Linked DNA regions of Caenorhabditis elegans. The protein of the gene in region 2 interacts with the protein of the main gene of each other region in a pairwise test. Each region holds a gene or a part of one and is shown on either strand. Other genes may lie near its edges.

Region 1 (7,548 bases), on a different chromosome or scaffold from region 2:
TCTTTTTTCAATATTTGCCGAGCACGGCAAATTCGGCAAATTTGCCGTGCTTAACAAACTCGGAAAATTTTGATAATTTTTGATGTTTTTTGGAACACCAAAACTACCGAATTCGTAACACACATCTGGTTTCTGAATTAGTTCCGTGTAGTATGTCTAGTTGAGCATAAAACTAACTCAATTTTGTGTCATTTTACTAAATTTTTGGCGAAAAAATCAATCAAAATTGTACTGTAAAATTTTTGACGTGTGCGGCAAATTTCGAAATTTGCCGAGCTCGGCCAATTCGGCAAATCTACTTTTTTGAAATTTGCCGTGCTCGGCAAATTCGGCAAATTCGGCAAGTTTGCCGCACACCCCTGAGCGGAACCCCCGTCACAACTAGAATGGTATATTTGGGGGGTCGACCAAGGACTACAGAAAGTAAAACAATTCAATCACGTATTTGACACGCTGAAGATTTATTTAATTTACTTGTTTTTCTTCCTAAATAATTCATTTCTGAACAATGCCGTCAGTTGTGATAGCTGGTGGAGGTCTTGTTGGATCTGCGAATGCGTGTTTTTTTGGACAGAAGGGATGGATTGTGGATGTCTACGAGTCGCGTTTTGATCCACGTGGAAACCATATGGAAAATGGAAAAAGTATTAATTTGGCATTAGGCGTTCGTGCAATGAGTACAATGAAGAGAATTGGTCTGAAGGAAAAAGTTATTCATATTGGTGTGCCAATTCGAGATCAAATTGCTCATTTTGGGGACACAAAAGGAAAACTGAAGAGACTACCTGTTCTCAATGATGACGATGTAAGTAGAAGTTCAAGAGTACACATCATTGCTTAACTTATATTTATGAATTTTCGTCGTTTTTATTTTGTAATATCTGAAAATTAACCGAAATATGAGGTGTCAAAATGTAATGCACAGTGTCAATGAGCTAATAGAGAATTTTTTATCGAAAACAATTAATTTAAACTATTTTAGTTCATTCTCACAATAAATCGTCAAGAACTGAGCCAAATATTGATCAACGAAGCGGAAAAATATAATAATGTTAAGTGAGTTCAACATCACAATTAATTAAGCAAACAGATTTTACAATTACAGATTTCATTTCAATTGTAAAGCAACCAAATTTGACTTGAAAAGTGAATCTCTGATTGTACAGAATTCGGATAATTTGAGTACTGTAGATGGTGATCTGTTTCTGGCTTGTGATGGAGCACACTCTTCAATTAGAAGAAGCCTTCTCAAGGCTCCAGGTTTCAATTTCAGTCAAAAGTATTCGGAATTCGGTTATATTGATCTGAGTGTAAATTCTACACAACAATGTGATCTAAAATTGGGAACACATTATTCCTGGAGAAGAAGAGGTATTATCCTTGTTGCCATTGTAAATAAAGATCAGTCATTGACTGGTAAGACTTATATTGGAATTATATCTATCTAAAGTCAAAATTTTCAGTTTCGATGTTCGCCACGTTCTCAGAGTTCGAGTCTAATTTGGTTGGTCCCGTAGAATCTGTTTTGTTTTTTAAGAACAATTTTTATGAAATCTTCAAGATTCTTGGAGAGTGAGTGGCTTCATTTTTCCTTGTTGTTTTCGAACGAATATTATTCTAGAGATCACATCAGAAACACAATTGCCAGAAACAAACCGCAGGCAATTATAAGTGTTCAATGCTCACAGCACGTCTTCTTCGACAAATTGGTATTGATGGGCGATGCAGCACATGCAATGGTTCCATTCAATGGTCAAGGTGTCAATTGTGGATTTGAGGATTGCCTTGTGTTGCAGGAAATTATGGATCAATATGAGGAAGATGAATTGGAAGATGTTATCAAAGAGTATTCAAAAGTTAGAACAAATGAGACGAATATCATTAATCAAATGGAATGGGATGTCAATTTAACGGTTAGATTTCTACATTTTATATTTCTTCGGGTGCTCATCTTGTAAGTAAGATTCTTGATTCTATATTGATAAGTGTCAAAATTCTACGAAAACATAAATACACAGTTCTGAAACATAATACTTTTACTATAGCGAGATTTCATGTTACTTGATAATTTTTGTTACAGCTCACGAGTTCCGTCCATGGCAGCCTGGGATGGATTCGAGAAATACGTGCACACATAAAACTATTGTTATGCTTCATTTTCCCATCATCGTTCACATTGGCAGCCTTCTCTCGGGAGAAATACTCTGAAATTGCCAGAAAAGCACAGATCGTCGAGAAGTGCACATCCTTATTCACAAACGTTTTCATTGTTTTCATAATTTCTGTCATTAGCCTCTTTTGGTATTGTGTGTTGGCAGTTTTATGGGCGAATTGACACCAAGATATACTCTACAGTACTCGGATACTGTAGAGGAAATCTTCAAGCATACTGTCTGCAATGTGCCGTCGTTTCTGGTGTTTGCGTCCAAGAAGTCTCGTGATTTAAAAACAAGTACCGATATTTTAAAAACGATTTTCTTTGCTGAATAAATATATTTATAAATACTGTTTTTCAGACATTTATTGAATTAAAATCCGTTTTTTCCTTAAATTTATGAAATTCCCCAATACGAACTATGTATTCTCTCGTTGCTCACTATGAAACCCACTTGAATGTTCCACCTTGCCCACCGAAATCGATTTTTTTTTTAATTTTTTTTACATCAGTGCAAACATTAACAGCTGTCTAGTGCACACTCAGACCGGTCGGTTCTGCTGCTATGCAGTAATATCTGTTTGCTCACCGATCATCAGTTTTATTATTTTCAAAAAAGAAACAGCATTTAAAACGGGAATTTGTTTTTTTCAACGTATAGGCCAAACACTGAATAATTTGGTTTTGTTATAATTGCTCTTCTACGCTGTGAGTCATCAATCGATAACCGCTCCGCAACCGCAATTGCCGTTCGTACTCTGCCACGCGACTTTCCCATCTGCTCTTCTTCTCTCACTCTCTTTCCCCCTCACTCTCTCTCTCACATTTTCGTTCATTCTATTCACCATCTTGTTACACTCATATCGTCTTATATTTTTCATTGTCTGTTCTTTTCTTTCTAAAAACAGTTTATTTTCAGTTTTATCCGCATTCTTCATATCGTTCATCGAAATGGCTGAAAAAATCAACATGTCTCTGGATGAAATCATCAAGCATGGCCAGAAAAAAGTGAAGTCCGAGCGAGTATCTGCACCAGCAGGAGCATCTACTAGCAACAAAGCTGGAAACAAACCCGTGAGTTTTAAAATAAAATAAGCAACTTTTAAGAATAAATAATTTTTATAGACTCGCCCAGGAAATGCCGGAAGAAACAACCGCAGAGTCCCACCAAGAAAGAGTGCTCAAGTTGTTTTGGCGAACAAGGTTTTGAAGAAATCGAAAGCAATTGCTGCTCGTCGTGCAGCTGGAGGTCAAAAACGCGTTTTCGGTGCCCGTGGAAAACCTGCTGCGGCTGCAGGATTGAGCGCTGTTGCCACCAAGAAGCTGGTTAATAAGCTCGTCAAGGTAAATCTTGTTTATATAATTCATTCTAATAAACCATCACATTACAGAATGCCCTTCGCAAAAGAACCAATATCACGACTGTTCCAGTCGTTCGTAAGCGTGGAGTACGTTTTTACCAGATTTTGTTCTATAGTTGAATATCGAGCTTTGAAAAATGGATTCTTGAAGTGAAATCTGGATACCACACGCATTAAGCGTTGTAGTAAAAGGCTAAAAATCAGGTCGAGAGTTTGATTTATTCCTCTCGTGTCGCGATAGAACCTAGACGTTCTTCGTGTTTTTTGAAACCGCGATGAATAGTTGGAAATACGATCATCCACTATTGAAAACCTGATAGAAAGCCAGGCTTCTGCCAAAAAATCAGAACAGATGGTCTCAATTTGTGTGAAGTTCCTTCCGGAGAGACAGACAGCAACTTCTCCTCAGCTTCTTCAGCGTGTCGAGAGTTCTTCCAATCTTTCACGGAGGTAAGGTAAATGATTTCAGGGTGTTGCTGCTTCAACTCTTGCCGCCAGACGAAATTTTGCATTGAAACGAAATGTCACTGCTGCCCAAGTGATTCAACCTGTGAGAACAATCATCCAACAGAGACCAATAACGGCTCCTGTTCGTACTATCGTACAGCATGTTCGTCAAGCTCCAGTCAAAGTTGTTCGCCAAATCATCACTGCTCCTGTGCAATCTCAAGTGATTCGTAGAGCACCGCAACAACAAGTTCGTCAGAACCGTCCACAGCAGAGACGCAATGTGATTATTCAATCACAGCAATCGAGAAGATTCCGTCCAACAAACAACAACAATAATAATCGTCCAACAGTCATTCGTCGTCAAGTCGTTCAACAAGTTCCAAGACGCGCTCAAGTTCAAAGACCACAGGTAAAAATTCATTATTATTCAGTATCCAGTGTCAGAATTATATTGTTCGTTTTCAGTATGAGCAGGTCGTGCAAAGAGTAATCCAGACTCCAGTGGCTCAGCAACGTTTCCAACGCCAGCCACAACGCTTCCAGCAACAGCAACCTCGTTTCCAGCAACAACCCCCGCGCTTCCAGAGACAGCAGCAGCCACAACAACAGCAAGTTGTGAGAAGCGTCAGATATGTGAATGCAAGACCACCTGTTCAGAGAAACAATGTTGTTCGTCAAGTGAGTATTCAAACTTTTATTTGCTAGAATTGAATTAAAGATTATGATTGAGTTTTACAATACTAGCCACCAATTGGATTAATATTATGAAACATAAATCTTAGGAATCTGTGGTGACCAATATATTGGTTTTTCAGGTTCAGCCAGTTCAATATCGTCCAGTCCAATACGTCACTGATCAGGTTGTCAACTCTCGTGGTCGTGGATTCCGTGCCTTCTAATTTCATCAACTCGTACACAATCAAGGATACTCAGAAGCTGCGTAGTTGTCTACACACCTTGCTTCATTTTATAAATTTATAATTCCTTCTTCCATAAACACCATGTTTAATAAAATACTCCGCCATACTCATTCTATTCACATCCAACAATAAACATGTTGCGTGTCTATCGAAATTAGTTACTTCTCTTATGTCTACAATAAGTTCAGTTGGATTTATTTCAACATTTCAGATGACATCCCGTAACAGGGTGCGAACAAGTTCTAATAGGTAAGAGACTAAATATCACTTGACTTCTCGGAAATAATATTTTTCAGTCTGGATCCAAATGAAGATCCTGTGTCGGGGCTAGAACGAGTCATGTCAAACTCGAATCTAGAACACGTTGCTCGGCAAAGAAGACGACTAGTGCGGGCAAAAACCAGCAATTTTTTCTGAAAATCAAGTTATTTCAGGAGGAAGAGCTGTTATTCTCAAGGCAATTGGATGATGTTGGTCGAACGGATAGCCATGAAGCATTGTCTGCTAGATACGAAAGTCTGAACTATGAAATATCTGAGAATCGACTCTATAGAGATGCTGAAAAGAAACCATCTCACCAGGTTTTGAGATTTCATAGATACAGTAACAATGTCACTTTTCAGTTAACTCTTTGGCGAATTTCTCGAAATCGTTGGTTTGTATGCTTTTTGATTGGAGTTTTCACTGGACTCGTCGCTGCATTTATTGATATTATGGTACACTACAGTAAAGATATCAAATTTAACTGGATTCTCAAATATTGTCAGTTATACTTATCTAACTAATCTATTGAAAACGAAACATTCAGTGCTCTCAAAGTGTGGCGAAGAGCAACGTGGAACGACTGCAGGGTGTATGTGGACCGTAATGATAGCTTGGATAGGATATAATTGTGTTCTCGTAACTATAGCTGCAATCCTTGTGATTTATGTAGCTCCGATTGCTGGAGGTTCTGGAATTCCTCAAATAAAGTGTTATCTTAACGGAATTGCGATTCCTGAGGTGTCATTTCCAGCTCAAAAATTTCTGAAACTTTCGTTTTTTCCAGGTTGTTCGTCTCAAAACGCTCGTTTCAAAAGCAGTTGGAGTTGCATGTTCGGTTGGCGGTGGTCTTTGTGCTGGAAAAGAAGGTCCTATGATCCATTCTGGAGCTGCTGTAGGAGCTGGGATATCACAGGGAAAAAGTTATTCCCTTGGAATCGATTTCGGACTTTTCCGCGAGTTTAGAAATGATCGAGAAAAAAGAGATTTCGTTTCTGCTGGTGCTGCTGCTGGAGTTGCTGCTGCTTTCGGAGCACCAATCGGAGGAGTTCTATTCTCTTTAGAAGAAGGAGCAAGCTTTTGGAATCAAGCTTTGACATGGAGAATGTTTTTCTCTGCAATGATCTCTTCATTCACTGTAAATTGGATTCTCAGTTGGTTCAATGGACGTAGTGGATGGCTCTCATGGACAGGTCTCGCGAATTTCGGAGTTTTCGAAAATAAGGATTATAATATTTGGGAAATTCCTTTGTTTCTTCTCATTGGAATAATTGGAGGCTGTCTTGGAGCTTTATTCAATTATTTAAATACAAAACTCACCGAGTTCCGTAAAAAATATGTGAGCAGCAAACTGGGTCGTTTGTTCGAATGTCTTCTTGTTGCCGCGGTATCAGGATTTCTTGCTTTCCTCACAATATTCGCAATTGACGATTGTCAGCCGATAGGAGCGAATCCTACAGCAACATCAACACAAATCAATCAAATGTGGTGCAAAAAAGGAGAATATTCTGCAGTAGCTTCTTTATTTTTTCAAAATCCTGAAGAAAGTGTGAAGAGTATGTTTCATAGTCCGATAAGTAAGTTTGATCTTTCAAAAACATTTAAGATCCAAATATTTTCAGATTCTTTTGGTGTCACAACTCTTGTTATTTTTGGAATTGAATATTTCTTGCTCACTCTCTGGACGTTCGGAATCTCTGTACCTTCTGGTGTCTTCATTCCAGCTATTCTTACTGGTGCAGCATGGGGCCGCCTGTTTGGAATTTTTGTTGAACGACTTTTCCCTTCGGTTACTGGAATTGATCCAGGAAAATACGCATTGGCAGGAGCTGCCGCACAACTCGGAGGCGTTGTTCGAATGACAATTTCATTAACAGCTATTATAATGGAAGCAACTAAAGATATTACATTTGGATTACCTATTATGTTGGTGTTGATGGTAACAAAATGGGTTGGAGATATGTTCAATGAAGGACTTTATGATGCTCATATTGATTTAGCAGAAGTTCCAATTCTTGGTTGGAATCCACCAAAGATGAGCAGAAACATTTTGGCAGAGTTGGTTTTTTTGTTGTAACAATTCGAAAATCTTTTTTTAATTTTCAGCCGCGTGATGCGAAAAGATGTTGTGGCTCTAGAACGGCGAGAAAGAGTATCCAGAATCGTTGAAATTCTTCGTTCCACACTTCATCATGGCTTTCCAGTAGTAGATAGAATCGAAGAATCGCCATACGAATCACTCCCTGATTATGGACGCCTGAAAGGTTATATTCTGCGATCACAACTGTTCAAACTTCTGGAAAATCGAATTTTCGAGGAAGAAGGAGCTTCAAACTCTGCACTTCCAAATGATTTTTATGAATGCCAGGATGACGACGAGTAAGTGATTTATATTGAATAA
Region 2 (7,335 bases):
CGATGACACTGACTGCAGATCCATCACGGTACAGGTTGCGATAGATGATAGCGGCAACAGTTGGCAATTTAGCGAGAAGATCCATTGAGTCCTGAAAACTGTTTATGTCAGTCATCCGTTCAAAGAGACAGCTGTTGTTTTTTGATGTTTACCTCATAAGCGTACTCCCAGTAGGAGGCCTTGGCGACTCCACGAGCATAAGCTCCGGCGAATTTGCTTTCATTGTTCAAAGCAGCGATAGCGGCGATGAATTGAGCCATTGGATGGAGGTTATCTGGGAAGTTGTCGAGCATTCGGACAACGTGGGTTGGAAGATCGGCACGGGCGTTCCATTCTTTTGTGATAGCGGCAGTCTGGGCCTCGGATGGAACATCTCCTGTACACAAAAGCCACCAAATGGCTTCTGGAAGCGGCTCTTCTCCTCCCTTTGCTTTTGGAAGAAGCTTTTGGCATTCTGGGATAGAGTATCCACGGAATCTGATTCCCTCCTCTGGGTCAAGAACTGAGGTTTCGGTGACCATTCCCTTCATGCTTCTCATGCCTCCGTAGATCTTGAAAAAGAGACTATGAATTTAAACTTCCTAGTAGTTGCTTACCATGTCAATGTTCACATTTTGAACGACGGTGCTACCGTGCTCTGTGCGGAATGACTTCACTTTAGCGTTGTGGGCTGGGATCTTCTTGGAAAGAACCTCCTTCAAATTGGTGGATCCTTCAGCAGATGTTGAAAGTGGAGCGACTTGACACACAGGGATGACTCCCTTGGTGATAAGTCTGCGAATAGCCATTCCAGAGAGCGACATTTTCTGGTCGGATTAAACCTGGAAATCACGAAAATTTAAAATTGGAAAACTTGCATCGTCATATCAATGTGGCGGGTCACGCAATTAAAAAAAACAGATGAGATTTATCATTTGAGAACTTGAAAATGATGATAAATTTTATTGAAACATTTTAACTACGCTGTGAAGGTGAAACAATTTGCGACCGCGACCCACACTCGTTCAAAAATGAGGACGGGCGGCGCGCAGGCCGCACACTTTTTTCTTTTCTTCTCTAAATCTCGCTCTCGTGCACTGCAGAGAATGAGTGTGGAAAAGAGTTTTGTAGAGGTCAGAGGCATAGAGATTACGCATCTTCTATAGAATTCTATTGATGATTGATGGAACCACGTTGGGGAGAAAACGGACAAAGAACATCATTGGTATTTACTGTTTCTATAAGTGATGGAGGTAATGATAAAACACAGCCGCCCGTTGATGGAGTGAGAGCACATTGTCTTCATAGAAATAGAAACCATAACGCACAAAACTGTGACGTTTCGCACACAATCTTACCACGCGGCAGGCACACAAAGAACAATCACAGTAGAATTGACACGAGGAAAAGTAATGGAGGGAGAGAAAACACAAAGAACGACAAAAATATAATTTCGAGTAGTTTCAACTCTGAATGGCATTATTCAAAAAAATATTTAAAAAGGATATAATCATTCAGACGCTTCATTTTTCAGGAATACGCAATAATATTTTCAATCCGTGAAATCATAGGTGTTGAAATGGATAATCGCCGATTTACAAGCACACTGTTTAGCCTCTTCCGCCGATGAACCATGTCCAGCAAACACTAGCGGCCCGGAATCTGGCATATTCTTCTTCCGTAGCTTTTCCTTCTCGGCAGTAGCCTTCATAATTTCTTCAGTCTGGGTGTGTTCTGCTCCCATTTCCAAATCGTCGGGGTCTGGAGAAACTAGACGCCGGAACGAGATTTCCAATAGCACCTGATGTATTCCCATTGTGCTCACTGATAATACGTTGAAATCCATGCTGTAGTCTGAAAATCTTTTCTTGTCCGAGAGTATATCAATCAGTGCGGAATGCTTGTCTTTAATCTTGGATGCTTGATCCTGAATTTCGAGTAAATGTTCAGCTTCTTCCAAATTTTCAATCACATCAACTGAAAGCAGTAAAATTAAATATTAACTACAATTATTTGGAGGCATACCCATATCATATGATTCCAGAGATTCGATACCGTCTTCCAACGCTTTCCACATCAACCATGCTGCAAGATTCTTTGCGTCCTTCTTCTTACTTCTGATTCCTCTGGTTTTTTGATTGCACATCTGAAATTTTTTATTATTTTCGAGTTATTAATTAGCAGTTCTACCGTGCATATAACCAAGAAACGCTCGGTTCTCTCATTCTTGGAATCTTCATAGATTGGGGCTTGCAGCTTGCTTTTTTGAGATTTTTCCTGCAACTTTCCGACCCAATTCTCGGTTGGCGAAATACCAGGTGGAAATTCAGCACTTGTAGGAATCGAATCATCGTTATCGTTATCCTGAACAGCATCTGAAGTTGATCGTTTCAATTCCTCAGCCTTATCCGATATTTGATCACTGAAAACAATTGAAATATAATTCAATTTGATAAACTTGAAAGCATTACATATTCGAAAGAGCTTCTTCTTTGGTTGTTCCAGGAATGAAAAAGATTTCGTGCTTTCCTTTCTCCACAACCTTGCGTAAATATTCAACAGCAGCCTTTTGTCTCGCAGCTTTCTTGCTTGTTGCCTGGCCTTTTACAGTAATTTCATTCAGAATCAACGTCATCTCGAAGCCTTCAGGAAGTTCGACAGTGCCCCAAGTTGGCGTCTTTTGATAGACAGCCTTAGCAGCCTCTTCTAGTACCATGAGGGGAGTTTTCTTCAGAAACATCTCCAAATCTGTTCTGTTTCTTGGCGTTTTGTTATCCTCCGATCGGGAAGGCTTCATAGGAACATCTGATCCACCGAAAACGCTTTCAAACGTTAGTTTGGTTAAATCCATCTATAAATAATATAATTTGAAACAAAAATAATAGCGGATCTCGTTTAAAGAAACGAAAAGAAAAAAACGTTCAATTTTCAAGTTTTGCGGTAATTTCTCATCAAAGGCAACGAGACCGGTGGTACGGTAACACTTGTTTCAACTGTGCGATTTGCTGTGTACTCCTCTCGGATAACGATTGCTTCAATAAAATTTATTTATTTTAATAAAATATATTTTTCAAAGTGATCTTTAAAGTGTTTTCCTTATTTTACAGTTCATTTTTTTAACTTTGAAATTAATTTTTTTATTTTTTTATTTTTGCAGTGAATGTTTTGGTCGCGAGTTCAGTTCGCGGCACGAAGGAGAGAAGACAGTCGACCGCTTTACCGAAGAATCTTCACAAATCGTCGACTTGACATCGCTCATAAGGGTAAGAACATGATTTAGACAACGATTTATTTAATCGAAACATGACGAATATGTTTTCCAAGTTGTAGTACTCAGGCAACTCAAATCTAATATGAAAATATTAAATAGCAATATTTTCGTAGTTGGGTGATATTTCAAGATAAAATCGCAATATTCCGAGACTTATTCGAAATCTTTTTAGATTGAGCAATCTTTTGAGAATATTTCGCAATATTTTGAGGTTGATTCGCAATATTTCTGAATCTGAAAATATTACGAAAAATTCGTAATATTTTGAGATGACATAGCAATCTTTTGAGATTGGTTCGCAATCTTTCTGAAATCTAAAAATATTACAAAAAAATGTGTAATATTCTAAGATTAATTTGCAATCTTTTTGCAGTCCATAAAGATTACGAAACACCATTTCCAAATTTCCATCGGCTTCACATGATCGTGATATATATACAACAATTATGATTACTGTTCCGTTCTAAATTCTCTTTTCTTCCAAATGATAAAAGACTTTTCAAAGTAAAAAACAGCTACATGAAAATCTATATAATGGAGCATCTCACTGTTAACGGATATTTGATTTTTCGTTGCATATTGTAGAAGGAGTTTTTGCAGAGAAAGCCATAGAATTCACAAATCTGTCCACTCATGTAATTTTTTCTAGATAATTGGCCGGTCATATTACAAATTCAGTCAAACAATCACGAAGATTGGTCGAATATATTAAAGTAGACTTACAACTATTCATTCACGCGTGATGCGTTTGAGATTTTCTGATTTCAATTGAAATCATAAAATATTGTCAACAGCAAGCATGTTCCCAGTATACTCATCATTTTAATCAAATTGTTAGTGAAAAAAAATATTGAAAAAATAAAATGTTTTTCTCTCTTTGACAAAAATTCGGAAAAATTGCACATCTAACTTTTTTAAAAGCATAACAAATAAATCGTTTTTCCACATTCGCTTTCAAAGAAAGTTATCCAATTTCGCTCTGACACTTAGAAAATTTGCGAAAAGTCACTGATTTCCCATCAAAGGTAACGAAAAGGACGTGCGCCCATCAACTATTTACTTAAGCAATAACTAAATCTAGATGCGACACGTACAGGATGGCTCAACAGGTAAGATAATGGTTTATAGACTCAACGACAAGCGACGGACAAGTTCAACTCCCCTCAATGGCAACAAAAGTTCTTCGAGTTATCACAAAACAGTTCTAGAATAGTCGATGAATGCATTTTTAATATTTAGAGACAAATTCGCAATATTTTGAGACAAAATCGCAATATTCTGAGACGAAATCTCAATCTTTGCAGATGAAATCTCAATCTTCGGAGACGAGTTCGCAGTCTTTTGAGACAAATTAGTAATATTTTGAGATAAAACGGAAGTCTTCCTAGAAATTTTCACACTTTCGCAATATTTTGAGATGAAATTGTAATCTTTTGAGACAAAATTGAAATCTATTCGAAATTTTTAGTAATCGTATATGGACGCACTATTTCTCGTTTTTACTACAAAAATATTGCTATTTAATATTTTCATATTAGATTTGAGTTGCCTGAGTAATGCTTTGAAAGATTGATTTTCCAGTTACTCAGGCAACTCAAATCTAATATGAAAATATTAAATAGCAATATTTTTGTAGTAAAAACGAGAAATAGTGCGTCCATATACGATTACTAAAAATTTCGAATAGATTTCAATTTTGTCTCAAAAGATTACAATTTCATCTCAAAATATTGCGAAAGTGTGAAAATTTCTAGGAAGACTTCCGTTTTATCTCAAAATATTACTAATTTGTCTCAAAAGACTGCGAACTCGTCTCCGAAGATTGAGATTTCATCTGCAAAGATTGAGATTTCGTCTCAGAATATTGCGATTTTGTCTCAAAATATTGCGAATTTGTCTCTAAATATTAAAAATGCATTCATCGACTATTCTAGAACTGTTTTGTGATAACTCGAAGAACTTTTGTTGCCATTGAGGGGAGTTGAACTTGTCCGTCGCTTGTCGTTGAGTCTATAAACCATTATCTTACCTGTTGAGCCATCCTGTACGTGTCGCATCTAGATTTAGTTATTGCTTAAGTAAATAGTTGATGGGCGCACGTCCTTTTCGTTACCTTTGATGGGAAATCAGTGACTTTTCGCAAATTTTCTAAGTGTCAGAGCGAAATTGGATAACTTTCTTTGAAAGCGAATGTGGAAAAACGATTTATTTGTTATGCTTTTAAAAAAGTTAGATGTGCAATTTTTCCGAATTTTTGTCAAAGAGAGAAAAACATTTTATTTTTTCAATATTTTTTTTCACTAACAATTTGATTAAAATGATGAGTATACTGGGAACATGCTTGCTGTTGACAATATTTTATGATTTCAATTGAAATCAGAAAATCTCAAACGCATCACGCGTGAATGAATAGTTGTAAGTCTACTTTAATATATTCGACCAATCTTCGTGATTGTTTGACTGAATTTGTAATATGACCGGCCAATTATCTAGAAAAAATTACATGAGTGGACAGATTTGTGAATTCTATGGCTTTCTCTGCAAAAACTCCTTCTACAATATGCAACGAAAAATCAAATATCCGTTAACAGTGAGATGCTCCATTATATAGATTTTCATGTAGCTGTTTTTTACTTTGAAAAGTCTTTTATCATTTGGAAGAAAAGAGAATTTAGAACGGAACAGTAATCATAATTGTTGTATATATATCACGATCATGTAAAGCCGATGGAAATTTGGAAATGGTGTTTTGTAATCTTTATGGACTGCAAAAAGATTGCAAATTAATCTTAGAATATTACACATTTTTTTGTAATATTTTTAGATTTCAGAAAGATTGCGAACCAATCTCAAAAGATTGCTATGTCATCTCAAAATATTACGAATTTTTCGTAATATTTTCAGATTCAGAAATATTGCGAATCAACCTCAAAATATTGCGAAATATTCTCAAAAGATTGCTCAATCTAAAAAGATTTCGAATAAGTCTCGGAATATTGCGATTTTATCTTGAAATATCACCCAACTACGAAAATATTGCTATTTAATATTTTCATATTAGATTTGAGTTGCCTGAGTAATTCTTTTTCTTTTCAGTAATTGTCCGATCCATCCTTGGTTTCCTCGTTTTCAGTACTTCATATTGTATCATCAACGCAGGAATCTACTACAAGTAAAGGATTAAAATCCATTATATTTTATATAACTTTCCATAAAATTCCAGGTTTGTGCGACCAATCCGTCAAGAAGAGCGAGAACTTCTGGAGAGAGAACTAATCGAGGCAGATAAGGCCGGATTTGCGTTCAAAAAGTGAGATTTGAAGTTTTAAACTAGCCAAAATTGGATTTTTCAGATGATTCGTCCGTTTTCACGTGCTCTCACTTCACTTTCTTCCAAATGGGAAGGATTGTTCTTTGTTGGCTTTACTGCTGGAGCTGGTTTTGAACTTTTCAAGATTTATTTCTCTTTTAATGGTAAGATTTTTTAAGTTGCTGATTAACAATTACAGTGTGTATGTATTTTCAGGTGTAAATTACTACAGCGTTCTCAAAAAACGGCAATTACAAAAAGAGCTTGACGCATTCGAACGGCAACTCAAAGATCTGGATACAATCATTGCCACCGGACAACCTCAAACATTTTGAATGCTGTTTTAGAATAGTTAATTGTTAGGTTATTAAGTAGGTCTCCCCACGTCTCCTGATCCTGTTAAAACGGCTTTTTCTGTTGTCTCTCATTTTCTTCATTCTTATTTGTTAATACCATTTTGATTAAAAATCTCTGAAATGTTTCATATTTAAATAACTCTATTGCTATTGACACTGAATATTTGAAGAATGCTACAACAAAAAAAAGGGTATGATTTTTCAAGAGCTTTCTGAAGCACTGAGGCATGAACGGGTAGTTTTTGACGGAAGTCTGAAAAACTACAAAACTGATTGTGGCGTTACTTATTACGTGAACACTAAACTCTGAGAATGCGTATTGTACAACATATCTGACGCGCAAAATATCTCGTAGCGAGAACTACAGTAATCATTTAAATGACTACTGTAGCCCTTATGATCGTTACAGTATTAATTTA
Region 3 (6,667 bases), on a different chromosome or scaffold from region 2:
TACCATTCCTATTGACCACTTGCTTTCTCTTATCACTGAAATGCAACTCGTTTCGTTTTTAACCGGAATCAAAGAGAGAAAGTGATGAGAGGGAATGTTGGTGATGTAATCCGAACAGACAAAAATATGGGAGGATTAAGCGGAAGATAAGAAGATCATGGGAGAACGGATATGGTTATCAATTATGGAAAATCAAGGAAAACTATTGATGTCTATAGCAATTGCTATTTCAAAATAAAAGTAAATTTTAAATATTGTGAGAAAATATATAACTTCAAAATTCAGAAAATGACATTTGCAATAGTTTTTTTTTCGTAAAGTTAAGCAACACATTATTATTGAAAATACATAATGATTCAACGTTAAAATGCCCATTTAAAATTTGAAATTAGAGAGCAAATGGCATAATATTAGACCATAATACCGATCGAAGACAAAAAAGTTTTTTTTTGAAATCTCGAAGCATTTTTAATATTTTCCGTGAATTACATACTTACTAGTATACTAAAAATAAAAAGTTTTAAACAGTTCCCAGCGTTATATGCAAATGTGAGCGCGGTGACAGTGACAAAATTCTAAATTGAACACATTTAATTTATGCGTCAGTCACTTACAGATACACATATGACTAATAGTGATTGGAGAAAAGTATGTTTATAAATGTAATACAATACTCATTCAGCTGTTGTCGAGAGAACTTTTTATTGATGAGCTGTTTTTCGGAGTTTAAGTTACTAAAAAGGAATACAAATTAAATATTGAAGCTCGTCTAACAGGACTATTACATGAAGCTTCAAATCTAATGTTTGTAGTTTCTATTAACTTTTTAAAAAAACATTCATACTTTTTTGCATCAAGTCACGATTTAACAATGATTTCCCACACATATGTAAAATCATTACAAACATAAATTGTGGGAGAAGCCTAAATACCACAAACCGTACGCGACCATCAGGATTTTTATTTCTGAATAATATGCAATAGAAACAAATTTCCTCGGGAATTATTACCAAGTCTCTGAGTAGCAAAGAAATTTTCTGAAGATGTAATCACGTATGTAAATATGTACAATGTTATCAATCGTTTTCGCTTTTTGTTATCATCAATCACTCTATTTCTCCATCTCTCTGACTAATACAACAAGGTTTACAATAACTGAGAGAAGTAGGTTTTCAGTGATTTTTTAGATGGGTGAAGCTGAATATAAGTACAAAAAACAACAATTATTCTCATTCAGCAAGTTATCAACAGTGTTACGGCCATATCATCTTTCTTAATCCACGTTAGAAACTTTATGAATAAAATCTGAATAATTTCTAAGGTTGATGTAAAAGCTGGCAAAGAAATTGTGGAGAATTTCTGAGTTTCAGAGCATTTTAATAGAGTAAACAATTGTTTTTAATTAATTTAAAGTACGCTTAACTACTGTGAAAGATGTAATTGTATAAAATGAAAAGACCAAACGTTTAGTATATGAGTAATGTTTTCTCCTTGTAATAGTATATTTTTGAACTAAAAAAATATACACTCCGAAATGATAGAGTACCGTAATCAAAAACCCTATGAACAATTTGAAAATACTATGATTTAAAGTTTTGGCAACTTAACAAATTTTTGAAATTTGGAGTTTTCTGATCGCCCTTACATTACCTTACACTCTAATCTACACTGGAAAATTATTTTAAAAATAATTTAAAATAAACTTCGTTTAAACGTCTTTTTTTTTAGTTTTTCAAAAATTTCAAAGTATTGAGTATTCATAGTTCGTACTTTTGACTTATAATAAAATGTATTTTTAATATTCCAAAGGTGTTTTCTTTGATATTCTTGCTATAAATTTCCCCACTGTCGCTACTCCAAATCTAATGTGAACAGTACACATGCTAAAGTAGAAAAATAAAAACCATTTCAAGAAAGTTCAAAATCTCATCAAAACTCAAAAAAAAGGATCGCTCGAGTGTATTTTGATGATTGATTATGGGTCAAGTGGATTTCTCGGCGGAAACGAAGAAAGAGTGGAACAGGATGATGAAAATAAATTTGCAAAGAAAAAATAGAGAGACAGAGCTCTGTTTTTGCAAACAATTTGAATGATTTCACTATAAATTTGTAGTTTTTAAATGAAAGAACAAGAGTAAGCAATGAAGAAGAAGCATAATAATCACATTTGAAACGGAAAGAAAACAGTTTTATGGGCACCATCAAATGACAAAAGAGATAAATAAATGAACGTTCGCATCCCTAATTGGCACTTCTTTTCAGTGTGTGTTTGATCACGTACCGCCTAAAAACGATTGAAATGGGCATTTCCATTTGACTGACGAAGGGATGATATGGGAACTAATATATTTCTATCGACACCTCCTTTTTTGGTTTGATTCATTTTAATGTTTTTTAAAAATAATTTTGAACAAATATAATAATGAAATTACTTTGTTTACGAGGAGATTTTAGCTTTACCGTTTGTTCGCCGTTCAATATGATTTCTTTTTAAATACACGAAACACGGGTGTTCTAGCTTTTGATGTTTTTATTAGGTACAAAATTATAAGTTATGAAAACATGAGAACAAACAAGTAAAATTTGGATTAAATTAAATTATTAGGCTTTTGACATATACACATCGAGCTCCGCATCCAACTCTTCGAGTGTCTTCTTTGGTTGAGCTTCTCTCTTTGGCTTCTTGGCCTTCAATTTCTTTTGAGCTCCAGCCCCTCCTGTTGGTTTTCCTGATTTAACATTCTGCCTTTTTGGTGCTCTTTGAGCTGGTCTTCCATTTGATGGAGCTCTTCTTGGAGCTTCTGGGAACTTGACACGGTTTGCAATATTTGCTGAATCAATGATAGCGAATTTGATCTCCTTTCCGTCGAGTGAGACTCCGGCAAACTTTTGGATGAGACGATCAGCGTGACGTTTTGGGAGAGTCACATCTCCGGTTCCTACTGGTTTTCCGTGCTCGTTGAAGTTCACGGAGACGTTTCGAATTTTGAATTCAGCGAAGAGTTGACGAAGGTCCCCGGAGTGAACGGTGTGGGCCAAGTTTGACAAGTTGATACGTACTTCACGGTTTTCTGGAAATGTTAACCATAACTTAAGAGCAAAATGGCATTTATAACTTACCATTTGCTGGAATAGATCTGTCAACTGTTCTGATTCCTCCACTTTGGCGTCTTGGTTGCGCAGTTGGTCTTCTTGATGGTCCAGCAGTTCCAGTGGAGAATCTCTTTTTAACTCCACCAACTGATGCTCTTTTGATTGGACTTTTCTTTGTTCTTCTGATTCCAGCGGAAAGTGGAGCATCGATAGCAATAGCACGAGCCATTTTGATAGAAGTTCTCTGAAATTTGATTCATAAATAATTGATTGAAGGCAATGAATGTAGAAAGCTGAGATGTAACATTGAAAGAGGGTGAGCAAATGGCAATAAGAGAACTAATATAGTCAATTGACTATTGTTGTACATAAATTAAAATAATGAAATGGAAAAGAGACCAAGTCGGCGGAATGAATGATTGACTCTGTGTGGGATATTCTCTGAGAATGGGGAAATAGGTAAACGCAGCGTTTGGAAGTGAAGACTTTTCAATCGATAGACTAGGTGGATGGAGTATCTGGAGATGGCTACTTGGAACTTCGGAGAAGATGGGAAAGGTCGTTTATCAAATTGGCAGAGATAGTATTATTTTAATTAGAATAGGTAGGTGACATCAAAAAATAAAACACAGAAATTACCAATTTGGGGGAGTTGTTGAAGATTGATTATTAAATTCGTAGTTTCTTTATAAAGTGCTCGATTCTTATCAAGAGGAACTTGGACATCAAAATTTAAAGATTGTAAATTATAAAGTTTAGAAAAATCTAGCCTGTATAATTTTTCTTAGTTTAGCAAAGCTTTAAAAATATATACAAAAGATTGGTAAAATGCGACTTACTTTAGAACTACAGAGAATTTCATATAACTATAATACATTGGAAAAGCAAAAAAAACCATAAATAAATGAAATATGTTATGACCATCTCGGTAAATGAATGATAGAATGAATTAATGCATATAGATCGAGCATCCATTAAAAACAGATCGTTGTTAAAAAGGCGGGACTGGTGCTGTGGAGGAAAGGGTGACGATCTTGGGATTGTTAAGAAAGTTGGCAGATGATGTATCGAATGGGAAAATACGAGTTTTCTAGCACACGCGAATATGTGTAATGTATATCAGTTGAATAGAAATTCAAATTATATTCATGTGGAATTGTATCGATATGTATCCTTTTCAGCATGACTTTTGTACTTTTTTATTCAGAATGACAAAAAAATATTAAAAATTGAAGGAAAGATGCTACATTATGAAATTGATGGTTATATTGGAAAAATATAACTTTCGAAATATTTTACCAATTGAGTCGTAGTAGACTAATTGCCAAATAGTGGGTTTTTTGTAGTTCGGCTTCTAGCAATGAGCAATAAACGTTAAATCAACTGAAAATTACACAAAAACTCGTAAAAGCAACTGGAACTCTTAGTGTTTCATTCGAAATGTTTCGAATGCCACACCCGTACACATTTGAATGAGTGTAAACCAACTGCGCACTCAACAGATGCTATTGTTTGTCTACCAGAGCGCACTTGCGTAGCGTCTAACCAATTGTAAGCAGCTTAATCGATATTATCTATACCTTTATTTTAAATTAAACAAATCTTAAAACAAATTAAAGTGATATGGAACCAGCTTTTTTTAGCAGTGTACCATTATGACATTTTTCAAAATGTAAACCAGAGGATTCGAAAGTGAATGACACAAGAAGCGTTAGTGAGATAGAAGGCAAATCGGTGATATTAAATAGGAAATCTGGGTAAAATATAGAGAGTTAGACTTTCAAATGAAATAATATTAAAATTAAAAGCAAATCATTATAACAATTGATATCATCGTTTCCTGGAGCAATCAGTAGCATAAACATTCATAATCCGAACATCATCAGAATAATGAACTTCATAGAAACGATTTTGATATTCTTCAATATCTTTTTTTCTTTTAATTGTTTCATAATAACCAGATACATCTAGAGGTGAGTAGCGAGAGATTTCAAACGGCGAAATTTGTAACTGTAGACGGGAAATTGAGAAATCATCAATTGCCAAGTCGAATATGATGTCTTCTGAAATTAGAACAAAACATAGTTGTGAAAGAAATTTTTTAATCGAAAAAGTTTCAGAATGGACTCTTTTTAAATGTGGAGAATTTAGTAATACCGAAAACGTGATTTTTTAAAAATTTTTGCTAACATCCGGGTTTGAATTCAATACAAAAAAATGCCAAAATCGAAAAAGCATGTTTTCAAACGATGGATTTTTTATGTCGATTTTTTGTCTTTCTGTTGTAGAATTTAGAAATTTGCGACTATGAAAACAAAAATTCCCTTTACGCTATTCGACTTTTGATGATTTTTTAAAGTTTCGCTTTAAAAAAATTGTGTTTTATATTTTGAAAAACATGTCATGTATATACTTTTAAATTATTTTAACAATAAATTCCTACCAACATTCTCCATGGCTAAACGATAGTGCTCAATACGTGGAAGCCCTCCAAATCCAGTTATGTCGCACCAAATCGTTGTGTGATATACAATCTACAAATGTAAAATAGTTTTTAACGCTTAAAAGCTTTAAATTAATATATGAGTACATAAATAACATTTTTAAAATGCTTACTTCCAAAATGCAGAGCTTCGCAAGCCAATCCAAAACCGTAATAATCTCATTTTCCAGTGGTGGCATTCCAAGTGCTTCATGAAATCTTCGAGCATAAAACTTTGAGAACTCTGTGCCACGTGGAACCACAAACGTAGTATGATACTTGGATTCATCTTCGTTCCAAAAATATTCGGGTGGATAAAAAGCGGCGATATTTTGAACAAGGCGTTGACCACGGGTAGCAGCGTAATTATACATTTGGGAATTGTTCCAAAACTGTGGCATTCCCGGAATATTGAAATAGAGTGTATGAAGAAGAGACGTGTAGTGATTGGAAAAGGCCGTACAATTCGGATCCGGATTGGGCTGGAATTAGGATTTTAAAAAAAGTAAAATACAAACGGAAATGCGCCGTTGAAGAGTACTGGAATTTCAAGATTTTGTTTTTGTTAAATTTTCACCGGTTTTTACATGTTTTCCTGATTTCTTAAAATCCCTGTTTTTTTTTGGTAATTGCGTAATTTTAGTTTTTTAATTAAAACAATTTTCCGAAAAACTAAGAAAATTCCGCAGCGACGAAAGTTTAAAATTACAGTACTTATTAAAGGCACACACCCGTTTTTATTTAACTAAAAATTGTCGTGTCGAGTCGGATATCCCTTTTTTGGTTCAAAAATCGAAAAAAAAATCGGGTAAGTAGAGCTTGTTTTAATTTATGATAAAACAAGGAAACTCACTAAAAATTGTCGAAAATACATGTAAAACCGAAATTCATCGCGATGAATCAAATCTTGCAACTCGAATCGAGTTATTTGACTGAAAATTAAAATTTTATTTTATAAAATTTCAGATTCGCCTCACACTTTCCCGTTCCGCCTTGCCAAATCATACATAAAATTGCAATAAGTTACAATTGTCTTCATTGTTCTTTGAAAAACGAATCGAGTAATTTCATCATTCCTTTCATATCCAGCAC

The links.
Region 1: the proteins of rde-4 (region 2) and pqn-53 interact in a two-hybrid assay, tested with the Caenorhabditis elegans proteins (one study listed by BioGRID).
Region 3: the proteins of rde-4 (region 2) and aly-1 interact in a two-hybrid assay, tested with the Caenorhabditis elegans proteins (2 studies listed by BioGRID).

What each region holds. Positions count from the first base shown.
Region 1 is NC_003283.11:12,060,918-12,068,465, reverse strand, and holds pqn-53 (Prion-like-(Q/N-rich)-domain-bearing protein), read left to right. Parts: upstream 1-3,074; 5' UTR 3,075-3,106; coding exon 3,107-3,229; intron 3,230-3,280; coding exon 3,281-3,499; intron 3,500-3,546; coding exon 3,547-3,603; exon of another isoform or gene 3,604-3,985; coding exon 3,986-4,375; intron 4,376-4,431; coding exon 4,432-4,644; intron 4,645-4,781; coding exon 4,782-4,865; 3' UTR 4,866-5,034; downstream 5,035-7,548. Other genes in the region: kmo-2 (FAD-binding domain-containing protein), read left to right, coding at 509-805, 983-1,056, 1,106-1,416, 1,464-1,572, 1,622-1,913, 2,081-2,335; clh-6 (Chloride channel protein), read left to right, coding at 5,098-5,135, 5,183-5,273, 5,321-5,467, 5,510-5,648, 5,695-5,888, 5,935-6,724, 6,770-7,205, 7,254-7,526.
Region 2 is NC_003281.10:10,215,815-10,223,149, forward strand, and holds rde-4 (DRBM domain-containing protein), read right to left. Parts: upstream 2,833-7,335; 5' UTR 2,831-2,832; coding exon 2,451-2,830; intron 2,402-2,450; coding exon 2,170-2,401; intron 2,126-2,169; coding exon 2,005-2,125; intron 1,957-2,004; coding exon 1,532-1,956; 3' UTR 1,488-1,531; downstream 1-1,487. Other genes in the region: cts-1 (putative citrate synthase, mitochondrial), read right to left, coding at 1-91, 153-551, 597-803; cox-14 (Cytochrome c oxidase assembly factor 3), read left to right, coding at 3,140-3,242, 6,347-6,422, 6,474-6,560, 6,604-6,607; Y70G10A.4 (ATP synthase subunit e, mitochondrial), read left to right, coding at 6,604-6,724, 6,777-6,895.
Region 3 is NC_003282.8:9,105,601-9,112,267, reverse strand, and holds aly-1 (Chromatin target of PRMT1 protein C-terminal domain-containing protein), read right to left. Parts: upstream 3,338-6,667; 5' UTR 3,323-3,337; coding exon 3,121-3,322; intron 3,072-3,120; coding exon 2,602-3,071; 3' UTR 2,515-2,601; downstream 1-2,514. Other genes in the region: Sex-determination protein fem-3, read right to left, coding at 4,924-5,156, 5,537-5,627, 5,710-6,057, 6,429-6,507, 6,553-6,667.